2 linked regions of the Saccharomyces cerevisiae S288C genome follow. The protein of the gene in region 2 purifies or fractionates together with the protein of the main gene of each other region. This does not show direct contact. Each region holds a gene or a part of one and is shown on either strand. Other genes may lie near its edges.

What was found.
Region 1: the proteins of PSG1 (region 2) and EMP70 purify together in Saccharomyces cerevisiae (affinity purification with mass spectrometry, with the first as the bait; 2 studies listed by BioGRID). This does not show direct contact.

The regions. Positions count from the first base shown.
Region 1 is NC_001144.5:291,237-299,957, reverse strand, and holds EMP70 (Emp70p), read left to right. Parts: upstream 1-3,863; coding exon 3,864-5,867; downstream 5,868-8,721. Other genes in the region: RAX2 (Rax2p), read left to right, coding at 1-3,369; SRL2 (Srl2p), read left to right, coding at 6,386-7,564; galactose permease GAL2, read right to left, coding at 8,022-8,721. UniProt on the Saccharomyces cerevisiae protein: With TMN2 and TMN3, plays a critical role in the late stages of a nutrient-controlled pathway notably regulating FLO11 gene expression. Acts downstream of RAS2 and TOR. Essential for cell adhesion and filamentous growth.
Region 2 is NC_001143.9:287,234-293,131, forward strand, and holds PSG1 (Psg1p), read left to right. Parts: upstream 1-4,219; coding exon 4,220-5,398; downstream 5,399-5,898. Other genes in the region: SMY1 (Smy1p), read left to right, coding at 1-1,340; DHR2 (RNA helicase), read left to right, coding at 1,612-3,819; AAN1 (Aan1p), read right to left, coding at 5,723-5,898. UniProt on the Saccharomyces cerevisiae protein: With EXP1, the specific cargo receptor protein for the plasma membrane ATPase PMA1, is involved in the transport and/or maturation of PMA1.

The DNA of each region.
Region 1 (8,721 bases), on a different chromosome or scaffold from region 2:
GATGATACTCGAATAGACAAAATTACACCATTTGGCGTTGATTCGTTTATTCTTAGCGGATCAGGCACGATAAACAATATCTCTGTCGGAAACCAGATATTATACAATTTGTCGACACTGTCTATGACGCCTATATTCAACCAGTCTTTGGGAGCTGTTCAGGCTGTGCTCGCAGACAATTCTTCTATCTATTTTGGAGGAAACTTTTCATATAATAATGGCTCCATGACGGGCTATAGTGCTCTCATTTGGGACTCCATATCAAATACCACCCAACTTTTACCTTTTGGAGGGTTTGGTGAAAACTCCAGTGTGAATTCCATAGTCAAGCTAAATAATGACAACATTTTATTTGCAGGCCAGTTTTATACACTGGATGATCCTTCTGCGCTTATCAGTAGTTCAAATAACGGTACGAACTCAACTTCCTCTTTAAACGCTACTACATTGGAGCTAGGCCAACGAATTCCACTGAGGTACGCTTCCTGGGATTCCCAGGGAAGTACAACGTTTGCATCTGATTCGTTAGTTTGTCCTAACACTAATGAGGATGCATGGCTTTATCCGGATACGTCTGGGTCTCTAGTTTGTAATTTACCATATGAAGTTTCACCAACAAAAATAAGGCTTTATAATTCCCAACGTTCCGATAGTGAAATCTCCGTGTTCCAAATTCTGACTGATCCATCCAGTAGCATAATGAATTTAACGTATCTGGACCCACTAAGTGGGGAGTTGAAGAATTGCGGTGAATTTTGCCCTTTGTATAGCCGAGCCACTTTATTATCAGCAAGCCAAAATGTATCTTCATCCATGGACATGATTACCTTCATCGATAACAACAAGACAGACGTAAAATGGACGTCAGATTTCCAAGACTTTGCGTTTGTGAATGAACTTCCCGTTTCATCGTTAAAATTTGTAGCATTAAATTCATACGGTGGTAGTGTTGGATTATCCGGTTTGGAGCTCTATCAGGACACATTCTCCACTTATGCTAATGATTCTCTCAACGAATATGGCTGCAGCGCGCTTACCAATGATTCGTCGTCATCTACATTGTCGAGCAATGATTGGTATAATGGTCTAACAGGTGAAAGTTATATAGCCGCGAAATATGTTCCAGATCAAAATGAGCCAATTCCACGCGTAAAGTTTTACCCAAACATTATCCACCCCGGTCACTACACTATCAACATGTATACACCAGGGTGTCTTCAGGATAATACGTGCTCCGCAAGAGGTATTGTAAACGTGACCATGTGGAATCAACAAAATAACACAATAATGAAGACGTACTTGATTTACCAGAATAATGATAATCTAAAATATGATCAAATCTACTCGGGATATCTAGATTTCTCACCGGAGATCGTTTTGGAGTATGTCTCAGGAATTTATACAACCAACACTGCAACAGTGGTCGTGGCAGATCAAGTTAATGTCATTACTGTTTCTTTAGATGCTTTTAACACACTTTCAGATTCTAGCAACGCTAAAAAAGAAACTTTATTGAATGGTATTCTCCAATACCAGAAATCAAACTTTACCAGCACGAGATTGAACGAAACAAAGGTAGGTAATACTACTTTGAATCTTTTCCCAGTAAAAAATTACCCTAAAAATTCTTCCCTTTATGCTGACATTTACGATAACAAATTAGTAATTGGTGGAGTAAGCAACCGTATTTCCATTGTCGACCTTAATGACGACTTTGAGGTTACATCAAGTAAAAACCAAACCATTCAAGGTGATGTACATGGTATAACGAAAACTAACCAAGGTTTACTAATATTTGGAGATATTCTTTCATCAAATAATCAATCAGCTGTTTTTTTGTTTAATGGATCATTTGAGAATGTCTTCAACCAATCGAGGACAGTGAATAGTGCCCTTAATATAAGTCTTGCAAATAACGACTTTATTGTTCTTGATAACGATTATGTGGTCAATGCATCTTCCAATGCGCTTATACGGAACTCCAGTTCCTTTAGTCTATCACTTTGGGCGGCTGGTAACAATGGCGATGGCGATGTTTTGTTTTCAGGTGCAGTATCTCATATGCAATATGGTAATTTGAATGGGTCTGTACGTTTTTTGAACGAAAATGAAATAGAGCCACTTAACCTAGAAGGGGGTATTGTACCTTACCTGGGAGCTTATTTAAATGAGTCTGCCACGGCATATGCATATGAGGTGGATTCTCTAAACAAAATTTATTTTTCTAATGAAGTTTATCCTTCCTGGAATTGGTCTAGCGGTATTACTCAAATGCTATACGCTGATAATCAAACTTTACTAGCTGTCAGTGCAGGATCTTCAACCACAGCAGAACTGTCGATTTTTGATTTGAGAAATTTGACCATGATTGCTAATGAAACACTAGGATCAAATGCTAGAATAAATGCTTTAGTTAACTTTGAAAAAAACTGTAGTATGCTTGTCGGCGGAGATTTCCAAATGACTGAGCCGAATTGCACCGGATTATGTCTATACAATTATGAAAGCAAAACTTGGTCTACCTTCCTCAATAACACGATTTTTGGTGAAATCACACAACTTTCCTTCACCAACTCATCAGAATTAATTATCTCAGGCCTTTTTGAAACAAAAGAATACCAATCTATACGTTTAGGATCCTTTAACTTAACCAATTCTACTATGATTCCATTATTGAGTGGTTCTGAAGGGAAACTGAATTCGTTTACTGTCACTGAAGACTCCATAGTGGCATGGAATGATACTTCATTATTTATCTATAGAAACCAAGAATGGAATATTACCTCGTTACCTGGCAATGCTAGCTCTATTAGCTCTGTTTCAGCTATATACACAGATATTGAATCCAACACTTTGAACAAGAGAGGAATCAACAATGTTAATAATGGCAGTATCCTCTTACTTAATGGTAATTTTAATATTTCGCAATACGGATACCTACAAAGTTTGTTGTTTGATTTCCAAAAATGGACCCCATATTTTATTTCAGAAACAACAAATACTTCCAATTACAATCCAATAATTTTTATTAATAGAGACGTTTCAACTGAATTCAACTCTCAGTCACCACTTGCCAATGTGAACATTACTGTGACAAGTCCTCAGTCAACATCATCCCAGCCTCCATCTTCATCGGCAAGCAGTGAATCTAAATCAAAATCGAAGAAGAAGAAAATAGGTCGTGGTTTTGTCGTTTTAATTGGTCTTGCACTAGCATTAGGGACAGTTTCTGTCCTTGGTATTGCAGGCGTCATTCTTGCCTACGTGTTTAAGGATCCAGAGGGTGATTATAAGCCCATTAAACCGCGAATTGATGAGAATGAAATGCTTGATACCGTCCCACCCGAAAAACTTATGAAGTTTGTCTAATCGGGGTTGTATTATATAATATATAACTACTTAAAATAATGAACACTTAATATAATAAACAAAAATAAAATAGGAAAATCCTAAGTTGATCAAAACTTAATAAAAATTACTACTTGCACTGGAATGTTAGTAGTAAATTCAACACGTATTGGAAGTCACTTGGAATGTTACCAATACTGCCTGAGAATGAGTGATTTTAACTTATAATACAAAAGTCCGGGTTACAGCCCTTTAAATTTTTTTCACGGCAATTTTTCTTTACTTGGTGAAGCCATGAAAAATGTCATCGGTTCGAAGAAATAGGCCTAATGATAAACAAAAAGGTAATTCAAGGTTTTTGAACTGCTTTGTTGTTTTTATTTGTATCTTTTTTTGGTACGTTAGTTAAGTTAATTTTTGGCTCCTTGTCCAGCTTTTCCTTCATCTGCTACCGTTATATTTTCAGATATTAATTTAGTAGCAGAGAGCAAGTACCGAAAGGAAAACAAAACAGAATGATTTACAAAATGGCACACGTACAGCTTTTGTTGTTGTATTTTTTTGTGTCAACAGTCAAAGCCTTCTATTTACCAGGTGTAGCGCCTACCACTTACAGGGAAAATGACAACATCCCATTGCTCGTTAATCATTTAACTCCATCAATGAATTATCAACACAAAGATGAGGACGGTAATAACGTTTCTGGCGATAAAGAAAATTTCTTGTACTCATACGACTACTATTACAATAGATTCCATTTTTGTCAGCCTGAAAAAGTCGAAAAGCAACCTGAATCCTTGGGATCCGTTATATTTGGTGATCGAATTTATAATTCACCATTCCAATTGAATATGTTACAAGAAAAAGAGTGTGAATCCCTGTGTAAGACCGTAATTCCGGGAGATGATGCTAAATTCATCAATAAATTGATAAAAAATGGCTTCTTCCAAAACTGGCTTATTGATGGATTACCGGCTGCAAGAGAGGTTTATGATGGCAGAACTAAGACTAGTTTTTATGGTGCTGGCTTCAACCTTGGTTTTGTACAGGTAACTCAAGGAACCGACATTGAGGCTACTCCAAAAGGGGCAGAAACCACCGATAAGGATGTGGAATTGGAAACACGTAATGATCGTAACATGGTGAAAACTTACGAATTGCCTTACTTTGCCAACCATTTCGATATTATGATTGAATATCACGATCGTGGTGAAGGTAACTATCGTGTAGTTGGTGTTATCGTCGAACCGGTTTCCATAAAACGTTCCAGTCCAGGTACATGTGAAACGACTGGCAGCCCATTGATGCTAGACGAAGGAAATGATAATGAAGTTTATTTTACTTATTCCGTTAAATTCAATGAATCAGCGACTTCTTGGGCCACCAGGTGGGACAAATATTTACACGTATATGATCCTTCTATTCAATGGTTTTCTTTGATAAATTTCTCCTTAGTTGTTGTCTTATTGTCATCTGTTGTTATCCATTCGCTATTGCGCGCACTGAAAAGTGATTTCGCACGTTACAACGAGTTAAATTTGGACGATGATTTTCAAGAAGATTCGGGTTGGAAATTGAATCATGGTGATGTTTTTCGTTCGCCAAGTCAATCGCTAACCCTTTCAATTTTGGTTGGTTCAGGAGTTCAATTATTTTTGATGGTAACTTGCAGTATCTTCTTCGCTGCATTGGGTTTCCTATCACCTAGTTCTAGAGGTTCCTTAGCCACTGTTATGTTTATCTTATATGCATTATTCGGGTTTGTCGGCTCTTATACATCTATGGGCATCTACAAATTTTTCAATGGGCCATACTGGAAGGCAAACTTGATATTGACTCCACTTCTAGTTCCTGGTGCTATTCTGCTAATAATTATTGCGTTGAACTTTTTCTTAATGTTTGTTCATTCTTCTGGTGTCATACCAGCAAGTACTCTGTTTTTTATGGTTTTTCTATGGTTTTTGTTCTCAATCCCATTATCATTTGCTGGTTCATTGATTGCCAGGAAAAGATGTCACTGGGATGAACATCCAACCAAGACAAACCAAATCGCAAGACAAATACCCTTCCAGCCTTGGTATTTAAAGACTATACCAGCTACTTTGATTGCTGGTATCTTTCCATTTGGCTCCATCGCCGTTGAGTTGTATTTCATATACACAAGTTTATGGTTTAATAAGATTTTTTACATGTTTGGTTTCCTCTTTTTCTCTTTCCTCCTATTAACTTTGACAAGTTCACTCGTCACTATTTTGATCACTTATCATTCCTTATGCCTGGAGAACTGGAAGTGGCAATGGAGAGGATTCATAATTGGAGGCGCCGGTTGTGCTTTGTATGTGTTTATTCATTCTATTTTATTCACCAAATTTAAGTTGGGTGGATTCACGACTATTGTCTTATACGTGGGATACTCCTCAGTCATTTCATTACTCTGCTGTTTGGTAACGGGGTCAATTGGCTTTATCAGCAGTATGCTCTTTGTTAGAAAAATCTACTCATCCATTAAAGTTGACTAGGCCAACGAAAAAGAGGTCCTATATGTTGGGTTAGGGCGTTTTTTATTTATTTCTCTACTGTTTATCTTTTTTAACAAAGAAAATGCTAGGCCCTATGGCCTTTGGACATGATACATAGTTTTTAGTAATATTTTTTTCAAAAAGATTAAAAGTACTATAGGATTCGAAGTTGTAATTTTTGGTGTATATACATTTATTTATTTGAATCTTTTTTCCATGATTCTGGAATGACATTCTGCGTTACAGTTTGGGAATAAATGCTCCTTTAAGGAAATAATATACAGCTTTAGTGTACAGGGTTAATCTATAGCCACATTAAAAGGACTTGATTATGACTTAAAATAAGTGACACTGACGCTTTAATATTCAGTCCGGGTGATGCTGTCATCTAGGACAAAACAATGGGAGTGGATAAGTAAGCAAGTAATAAGATAAAACAGTATTAGAAATTGGTAGTAGGCTGAAGCTTGTTGAAGCTGGTGGACAGAAAAACGCTTATATTGTGAAGATCCTTTTGGATGTCCAACTTTAAGAATTTTACTTTAAATTCCTTTGAAGATTATTACGGAAAGCCCTCTGAAACGCCAAAAATGGAGGAAGAGAAATTGGAAGTAACAAATGTGAATGCGTCCTCTTCAAAAAAAGTACATAAAAGCAAAAAGAGCACTTCAAAATATGACCAAAAGAATGTATTTAGAAACTCAATGACAGGAATTGCACAAATACTGCCAACAAAACCTGTGAAAATTATAGAGCAGAATATTGATTTTGCCAATCCGAAGAGCTTCGACCTCCTGCAATCTACACATACTATTTGCTTTAATAAAAGAATTAACACTACTAATACCAAGTTGAATGTGGAAACTCATACTTCTAGTGATATTGACAACGACATATTGCACGTTGGAGCCCCCACAGACTTGGGGGGAAACAGTAATGACGAAGCGGAAACAAGGCAACTAAGGAAGTTTCGATGGTCCAATAATAAAGAAAAAAGTCTTTGTGAAAAGTTAACAGTCATATATTGGGCCCTCTTGCTCCACACAACAAAGAGAGCAAGTAAAAGGAGACCTATATTATGTCATCAAATGATAGCTGAGTTTTTTAACAGAGTTTATAAGGAGAAATCAAGAGTACCTATAACTTCAAGATATATTAGAGATAACCTCGTCGCTTGGGTCACTCAAGGAAAGGAATTGCATGAAAAAGGTTGGGTAGGGGATGCCAAAACTGGCGATTTGCAAGAACAGTTCAATATAGCCACTGTCAAATTATATGAAAGCGCAGAAGACGGGCGTCTTTCCATTGGTAAAGACAAACCCTTTCGAGAGGAAAACACCGGCAGTGATAGTTTGGTTCGAGCGGAAGAGGACTCTACCGCTGTCACTAATGAAAATGGACATATTTCTTCAGAAAAAAACTTGAAAAAAGATCGTAGAGAGTCTATAAGGAACCAAATCCTGACTTTAGACCTAAATGACGAAGATTTTTTCCAAAATGTAATGAAAGTTTTATCAGCCATTGATGAACCAGAACTGAGACAATATGTAATCGTAATCTCAGAATTAGTTAGCATGGAAATGGATGATGGTAAAACGGTACGAGAAAAGCTCCGAGACGTTGAATTGAATATTAATAGGTTGCAGGTTGATATAAAAGAAATAAAGGAAATGCTTGTTACACTGATAAACAAATGACTGAAAAAAGCAACTCCTGGATCGTTCGAACATTCTCACTCCATTAATTGTATGTTAGCTCAGGAATTCAACTGGAAGAAAGTCCAGGCAAGTACCTGACTTATTTTCTAGAGGACCCCCCAGAGATAAGTCTGGTGATGTGGTCCTTTAATAATTTCATAGGGACAATTCATTTTGCGTTTTTAATTTTGCTCGGTGAACAAAGGATGGCAGAGCATGTTATCGTTTTCTTTTTTTTTTCCTGTTTTAGAGAAAAAGGTTATATATGTAATAATACTCTGATATATGTACACAAATAATAGGTTTAGGTAAGGAATTTATATAATCGTAAGGATATCATTGATAAGGGAAATTTTTTTTTTTTTTTTTCAAACAAATACTATGATAATTAAAATGAAGAAAAAACGTCAGTCATGAAAAATTAAGAGAGATGATGGAGCGTCTCACTTCAAACGCATTATTCTAGCATGGCCTTGTACCACGGTTTGTCGTCATGTTGTAAATCCTCTAAATCGTAATTATTACCTCTTCTGGATGAAGGAATCCAGCCTTCAGATTTCCAAGGTAAAACACCTTCTTCCCATAATTCTTGAATTTCTTCTAACGATAGGCCTTTAGTTTCTGGAACAAAGAAAAAGACATAAAAAAACATGGCAACCAAACAGCCCATGAAGACATAACCGTAGTAGAAGTTAATGGCAGATGTGATGAATGGGGTGAAAAATGCAATCAAGAACCCCCATACCCAATTGGAAGCAGAGGCCAACGCCATACATTTCGACTTGACTCTCAGTGGGAATGATTCTGCTGTGATGACCCAGGCAACTGGCGCCCAGGTTGTGGCATAACAGAAAATATAAAAACAGGTAAAGACAATCATACAGTTACCGGCACCTTTAGAAGATGGCTGGCTTTTACCGTGAGGATATAATCTAGTAACACCAACAGAGGCGTAGATGACCATACAAGCCATCATAGTGGCAGCGCCCAAAAGTAAACATTTACGATGTCCCAAGTTTTCGACAGTCCACAAACTAAAGAAAGTGGAGGCAAAGTTGACTACACCAATGACAATGGATGTTTCAAAGGAATCATCCAGGCCAACTGACTTGAAAATAACGGTACCGTAGTAGAAAAAATAATTGTTACCGGTTAAT
Region 2 (5,898 bases):
GAAGCTACATTCAGGCAGTCCAAAACGTCGGCAATAGGATGGCATGTGGCGACAAGACAGAGAGATCAAGATCACACCTAGTTTTTCAATTACACGTAGAACAAAGGAATAGAAAAGATGATATATTAAAAAATAGTTCTTTATATCTGGTTGATTTACACGGGGCAGAGAAGTTCGATAAAAGAACTGAAAGTACGCTATCACAAGATGCGTTAAAAAAATTAAACCAATCTATTGAGGCGTTGAAAAACACTGTGCGGTCCTTGTCAATGAAAGAGCGTGATTCAGCCTACAGCGCAAAAGGATCACATAGTTCTGCTTACCGTGAATCGCAATTAACTGAAGTGTTAAAAGATTCCCTTGGGGGAAATAGGAAAACAAAGGTGATATTGACATGTTTCTTAAGTAATGTTCCAACTACCCTATCAACACTAGAATTTGGTGACAGTATTAGACAGATCAATAACAAGGTTACAGATAACACCACAGGTTTAAATCTGAAAAAAAAAATGGATCTATTTATTCAGGACATGAAAATTAAGGATGATAATTATGTTGCCCAAATTAATATACTAAAGGCTGAAATAGACTCTTTAAAAAGCCTTCACAATAAATCTCTTCCCGAAGACGACGAGAAAAAAATGTTAGAAAATACAAAGAAAGAAAATATCAAACTAAAGCTTCAATTAGACAGTATTACCCAATTATTGAGTAGTTCTACCAATGAAGATCCTAACAATCGTATTGACGAAGAAGTTTCTGAAATATTAACGAAAAGATGCGAACAGATTGCTCAGCTTGAGTTATCTTTTGATCGACAGATGAATTCCAATTCTAAGTTGCAGCAAGAGTTAGAATACAAAAAGTCAAAAGAGGAAGCCTTAGAGTCTATGAACGTTAGGCTACTAGAACAAATTCAGCTTCAGGAAAGAGAGATTCAAGAGCTTTTAACTACTAACGCCATCTTAAAGGGTGAACTAGAAACTCACACTAAACTTACTGAAACACGCAGTGAAAGGATAAAATCTTTGGAAAGTTCTGTCAAAGAGCTTTCTCTTAATAAATCTGCAATCCCATCTCCTAGAAGAGGGTCTATGAGCTCGTCATCAGGAAATACTATGTTGCATATCGAGGAGGGTTCTGAAATATCAAATAGCCCTTGGTCAGCCAATACTTCCTCAAAACCTTTAGTATGGGGCGCGAGAAAGGTTTCTTCTAGCAGTATAGCAACCACTGGATCACAGGAGTCTTTTGTGGCAAGACCGTTCAAGAAGGGATTAAACCTCCATTCGATAAAAGTCACTTCGAGTACTCCAAAAAGTCCCTCTTCTGGAAGCTGACTATAATTAAGTTCGATAATTGTACGATACAACTGTGTAGTATCTTTGTAATTATAATCATGATGATAACGCTAATAATTTGTACGTATAATGCTGACTGAAAGATGTACTTTTCTTCTACCGTTTTTCTTCGGCGGCTATTCGTTTACAATGATTTGGAAAAATGAGAAAAATTGAAAATAAAAAATTCTGCTCGATGAGATGAGATGAGGTTATGATATATATGTAAGAATTCCTCAAGAAGAGGTTGCAAGAGTCTGCAGACATTATCATGGCAGCAAATAGCAATAGTAGAGTTGCATCAAACCATACTTCTAAAAAACAAAAGGTTAGGAGGAATATACATCCATTCACGAATAACACTCGGATTAAAAGAGCTAGTAAAATCGTAAAGTTTAATGATTCAGGCGAGGGCGACCATGTTTCAGACCAACGTTCGAACAAGGAAAATGTCCTTACTTATAAATCTTTGAAAAGTCGGGCAAGCGATTTACTCAAAATGAGAGAAACACTTCCCGTTTACCAACACAAGCGAGAAATAATGTCATATATTGAAAGCAATCCCGTTACCGTCCTTATTGGTGAAACAGGTTCTGGTAAATCAACACAAATTCCGCAATTCGTATTAGAAAAATTATATGATACGAAGAAGCATGGGTCGATTGCTGTAACTCAACCCCGTCGTGTTGCGGCCATCAATTTGGCTACACGTGTTGCTCAAGAACATGGTTGCAAACTGGGTGAACAAGTAGGTTATTCTGTCAGATTTGACAATACGACTACTACAAGAACAAGACTTAAGTATCTGACTGACGGTATGTTACTTAGAGAACTTATGATGAATAGTGACCTTAGAGAATACAGCGTCATCGTTATCGATGAAGCGCATGAAAGAACTGTGCTTACAGATTTGATATTGGGGTTCTTAAAATCCTTGATACAAGGGCCAAGACCTGATTTGAGAATAATTGTTATGTCTGCAACATTGCAAGCCGAAAAATTTAGTGAGTTCTTCAATAATGCCCCAATCTTATTTGTAGAAGGAAGAAAATTTGATGTCAAACAATACTACTTGAAGGCGCCAACAGATGATATAGTAGACGCTGTCATCAGGTGTTGTATACAAATAAACCAAGGTGAAGAACTGGGAGATATCTTATGTTTTTTACCGGGCCAAGAAGAGATTGACAAAGCAGTGACTATAATGGAGAAAATTGCAAAGTATGTTTCAGATGAGGCCCCAGTACCATTAATAGTTCCTTATCCTTTATATGCAGCTCTTCCCGCGGTCCAACAGTCCTTGGTCTTCGCTCCGATAAAGGGTTTCAAGAGAAAAGTCGTCTTTAGTACCAATATTGCAGAAACATCTGTTACCATATCCGGTGTTAAATTTGTCGTTGATTCTGGTCTTCGAAAAGTCAAAGTTTGGAGACATCAGCTGGGATTAGCCACTCTACTTACCGTACCCATTTCTCAGGCAAGTGCGATGCAGAGAAGTGGTCGTGCTGGTAGAGAAAGTGAAGGAAAGAGTTTCAGGCTTTATTGTGAGTCTGATTATGTGAAATTACCTAAACAAAGTGAACCTGAAATAGCCAGAAGTGACGTCACATCTCCTGTGTTAATGTTGAAGAGATATGGTGTTGATGACCTGCTAAACTGGACCTGGTTTGAGAACCCTGGAAAGGAAGCTATAGTAATGGGGCTTCAGGAACTTTATGAATTGGGTGCTCTTGACACTCGTGGAAAGATAACTAAACGGGGTCAACAAATGGCTCTGTTACCGCTACAACCGCATTTAAGTAGTGTCTTAATTAAAGCCAGTGAAGTCGGATGTTTGAGTCAGGTCATTGATATCGTCTCTTGCCTTAGTGTGGAAAATTTACTGTTGAATCCGTCACCAGAAGAAAGAGATGAGGTGAACGAGCGTCGTTTGTCCTTATGCAACGCTGGTAAAAGGTATGGTGACCTTATCATGCTGAAAGAGCTTTTTGATATCTATTTCTACGAACTAGGGAAAAGTCAAGATGCAAGCTCTGAAAGAAATGATTGGTGTAAAGGATTGTGTATTTCGATACGTGGGTTTAAAAATGTAATTCGTGTCAGAGACCAGTTAAGAGTTTATTGTAAGCGTTTGTTTTCTTCAATCAGTGAAGAGGATGAAGAATCCAAAAAGATTGGTGAAGATGGCGAGCTAATTTCGAAAATTTTAAAGTGTTTCTTAACTGGGTTTATCAAGAATACAGCTATAGGGATGCCAGACAGGTCTTATAGAACTGTTTCCACTGGAGAGCCGATAAGCATTCATCCATCATCTATGCTATTTATGAATAAAAGCTGCCCCGGTATAATGTACACGGAGTATGTCTTTACTACGAAGGGATATGCCAGAAATGTTAGTAGGATTGAACTTTCATGGTTACAAGAAGTTGTCACTAATGCAGCCGCTGTAGCAAAGCAAAAAGTTTCTGATTCAAAATAAGTCACCTACTCTTAGCGCATTTTTATTGTATATAAAGGCATTTAATGTAATTTATAGAGCATTATAAATCGTAACAACTACTGCAGTATGAGTTTCATGGATTCATTTCTCAATATCTTATGAATATACACAGGTATATATGTATATTCATGTTAAACGCCTTTCGAATTGTTCGTTGGCTTTTTTTGTGAAATTATCTCGGGAAAAGGGCGAAATTATATTATTTTGCCGTTGACATTTTGAAAAGGAATAAAAGATCATGAAAAAAATAAGAAAGGCAATTCGACGCATTTCTCTCAGCAAGCTATTCTTTACTTTTGAAGAACAAAATATTTTAGCAAAAAGGTTAAGACAATATAGTCGGAAGCAGTTCTGCGGGATCTGAAGGAATTGCGGAATAATGAGATTTCACGATAGTATACTTATCTTCTTTTCTTTGGCATCGCTTTATCAACATGTTCATGGTGCAAGACAAGTCGTTCGTCCAAAGGAGAAAATGACTACTTCAGAAGAAGTTAAACCTTGGTTACGTACGGTTTATGGAAGTCAAAAAGAATTAGTCACTCCTACGGTCATTGCCGGTGTCACTTTTTCTGAAAAACCAGAAGAAACACCAAATCCATTGAAACCTTGGGTATCTTTAGAGCATGATGGTAGGCCAAAAACCATTAAACCAGAAATCAACAAAGGTCGAACCAAGAAGGGAAGACCTGATTACTCAACTTACTTCAAAACGGTAAGTTCCCACACATATTCTTATGAAGAATTGAAGGCTCACAATATGGGCCCTAATGAAGTTTTTGTAGAAGAAGAGTATATTGATGAAGATGACACCTACGTCTCCCTGAATCCTATTGTCAGATGTACTCCTAATCTTTACTTCAATAAAGGTCTAGCAAAGGATATCCGCAGTGAGCCATTTTGTACCCCTTATGAGAATTCTAGATGGAAGGTTGACAAGACTTACTTCGTTACTTGGTATACAAGATTTTTTACAGATGAGAATTCCGGTAAAGTTGCTGATAAGGTTCGTGTTCATTTGTCCTATGTTAAAGAAAACCCCGTAGAGAAGGGCAATTATAAAAGAGATATCCCTGCAACTTTTTTCTCTTCCGAATGGATTGATAATGACAACGGTCTAATGCCGGTTGAGGTCAGAGATGAATGGCTGCAGGACCAATTTGATCGTAGGATCGTTGTATCAGTTCAGCCAATATACATATCAGATGAAGATTTCGATCCACTACAATACGGTATTTTATTATACATCACTAAGGGTTCAAAAGTGTTTAAGCCTACTAAGGAGCAACTGGCTTTAGACGATGCAGGTATAACAAATGATCAGTGGTATTATGTTGCATTATCTATCCCTACTGTCGTGGTGGTATTTTTCGTCTTCATGTACTTTTTCTTATATGTCAACGGGAAAAACAGAGATTTCACAGATGTTACTAGAAAAGCTTTAAACAAGAAACGCCGTGTTTTGGGTAAGTTCTCGGAGATGAAGAAATTCAAAAACATGAAAAATCACAAGTACACCGAATTGCCATCTTATAAGAAAACCAGTAAACAAAATTAGATTCCCTTCGAAGTATGCATTCACCCTTCCTCGAGAGGGCTGTTTTTATCTTCCGTCACACTAATAGAAAACCACTCTATCCAGTTTTTTTTGTTACTTAACTTATCTTAACTCGATATTGTATAAATACTGAAGTCCATATACTTCTTTTTTTCTCCTTTGGATAGTAAATACGGTAAATTAAAATTAGTGTAAACTGAACAATATTAACATATATAAATCATCTGTACGACAATTTGATACCAAATAAATAGAGAATGCATCAGCATCCTCCAGGGTTCAAAAGAAAACGCTGGATCTTGCTTCTTTTCCTTTGATTTCTCCTTATATCCATTTCTGTCTTGCAGCAACTTCACATATTTTTTCCAGTGTAATGACCCTTGGATCAGGCTTAAAATGACGCTCAACCACATTATCATCTCCTTCCACATTCCTGCTAAGTAAGCTTTCTTCGTCGCCCTCGCTATTGTCCACATTATCTTCATCTTCATCATCATCTC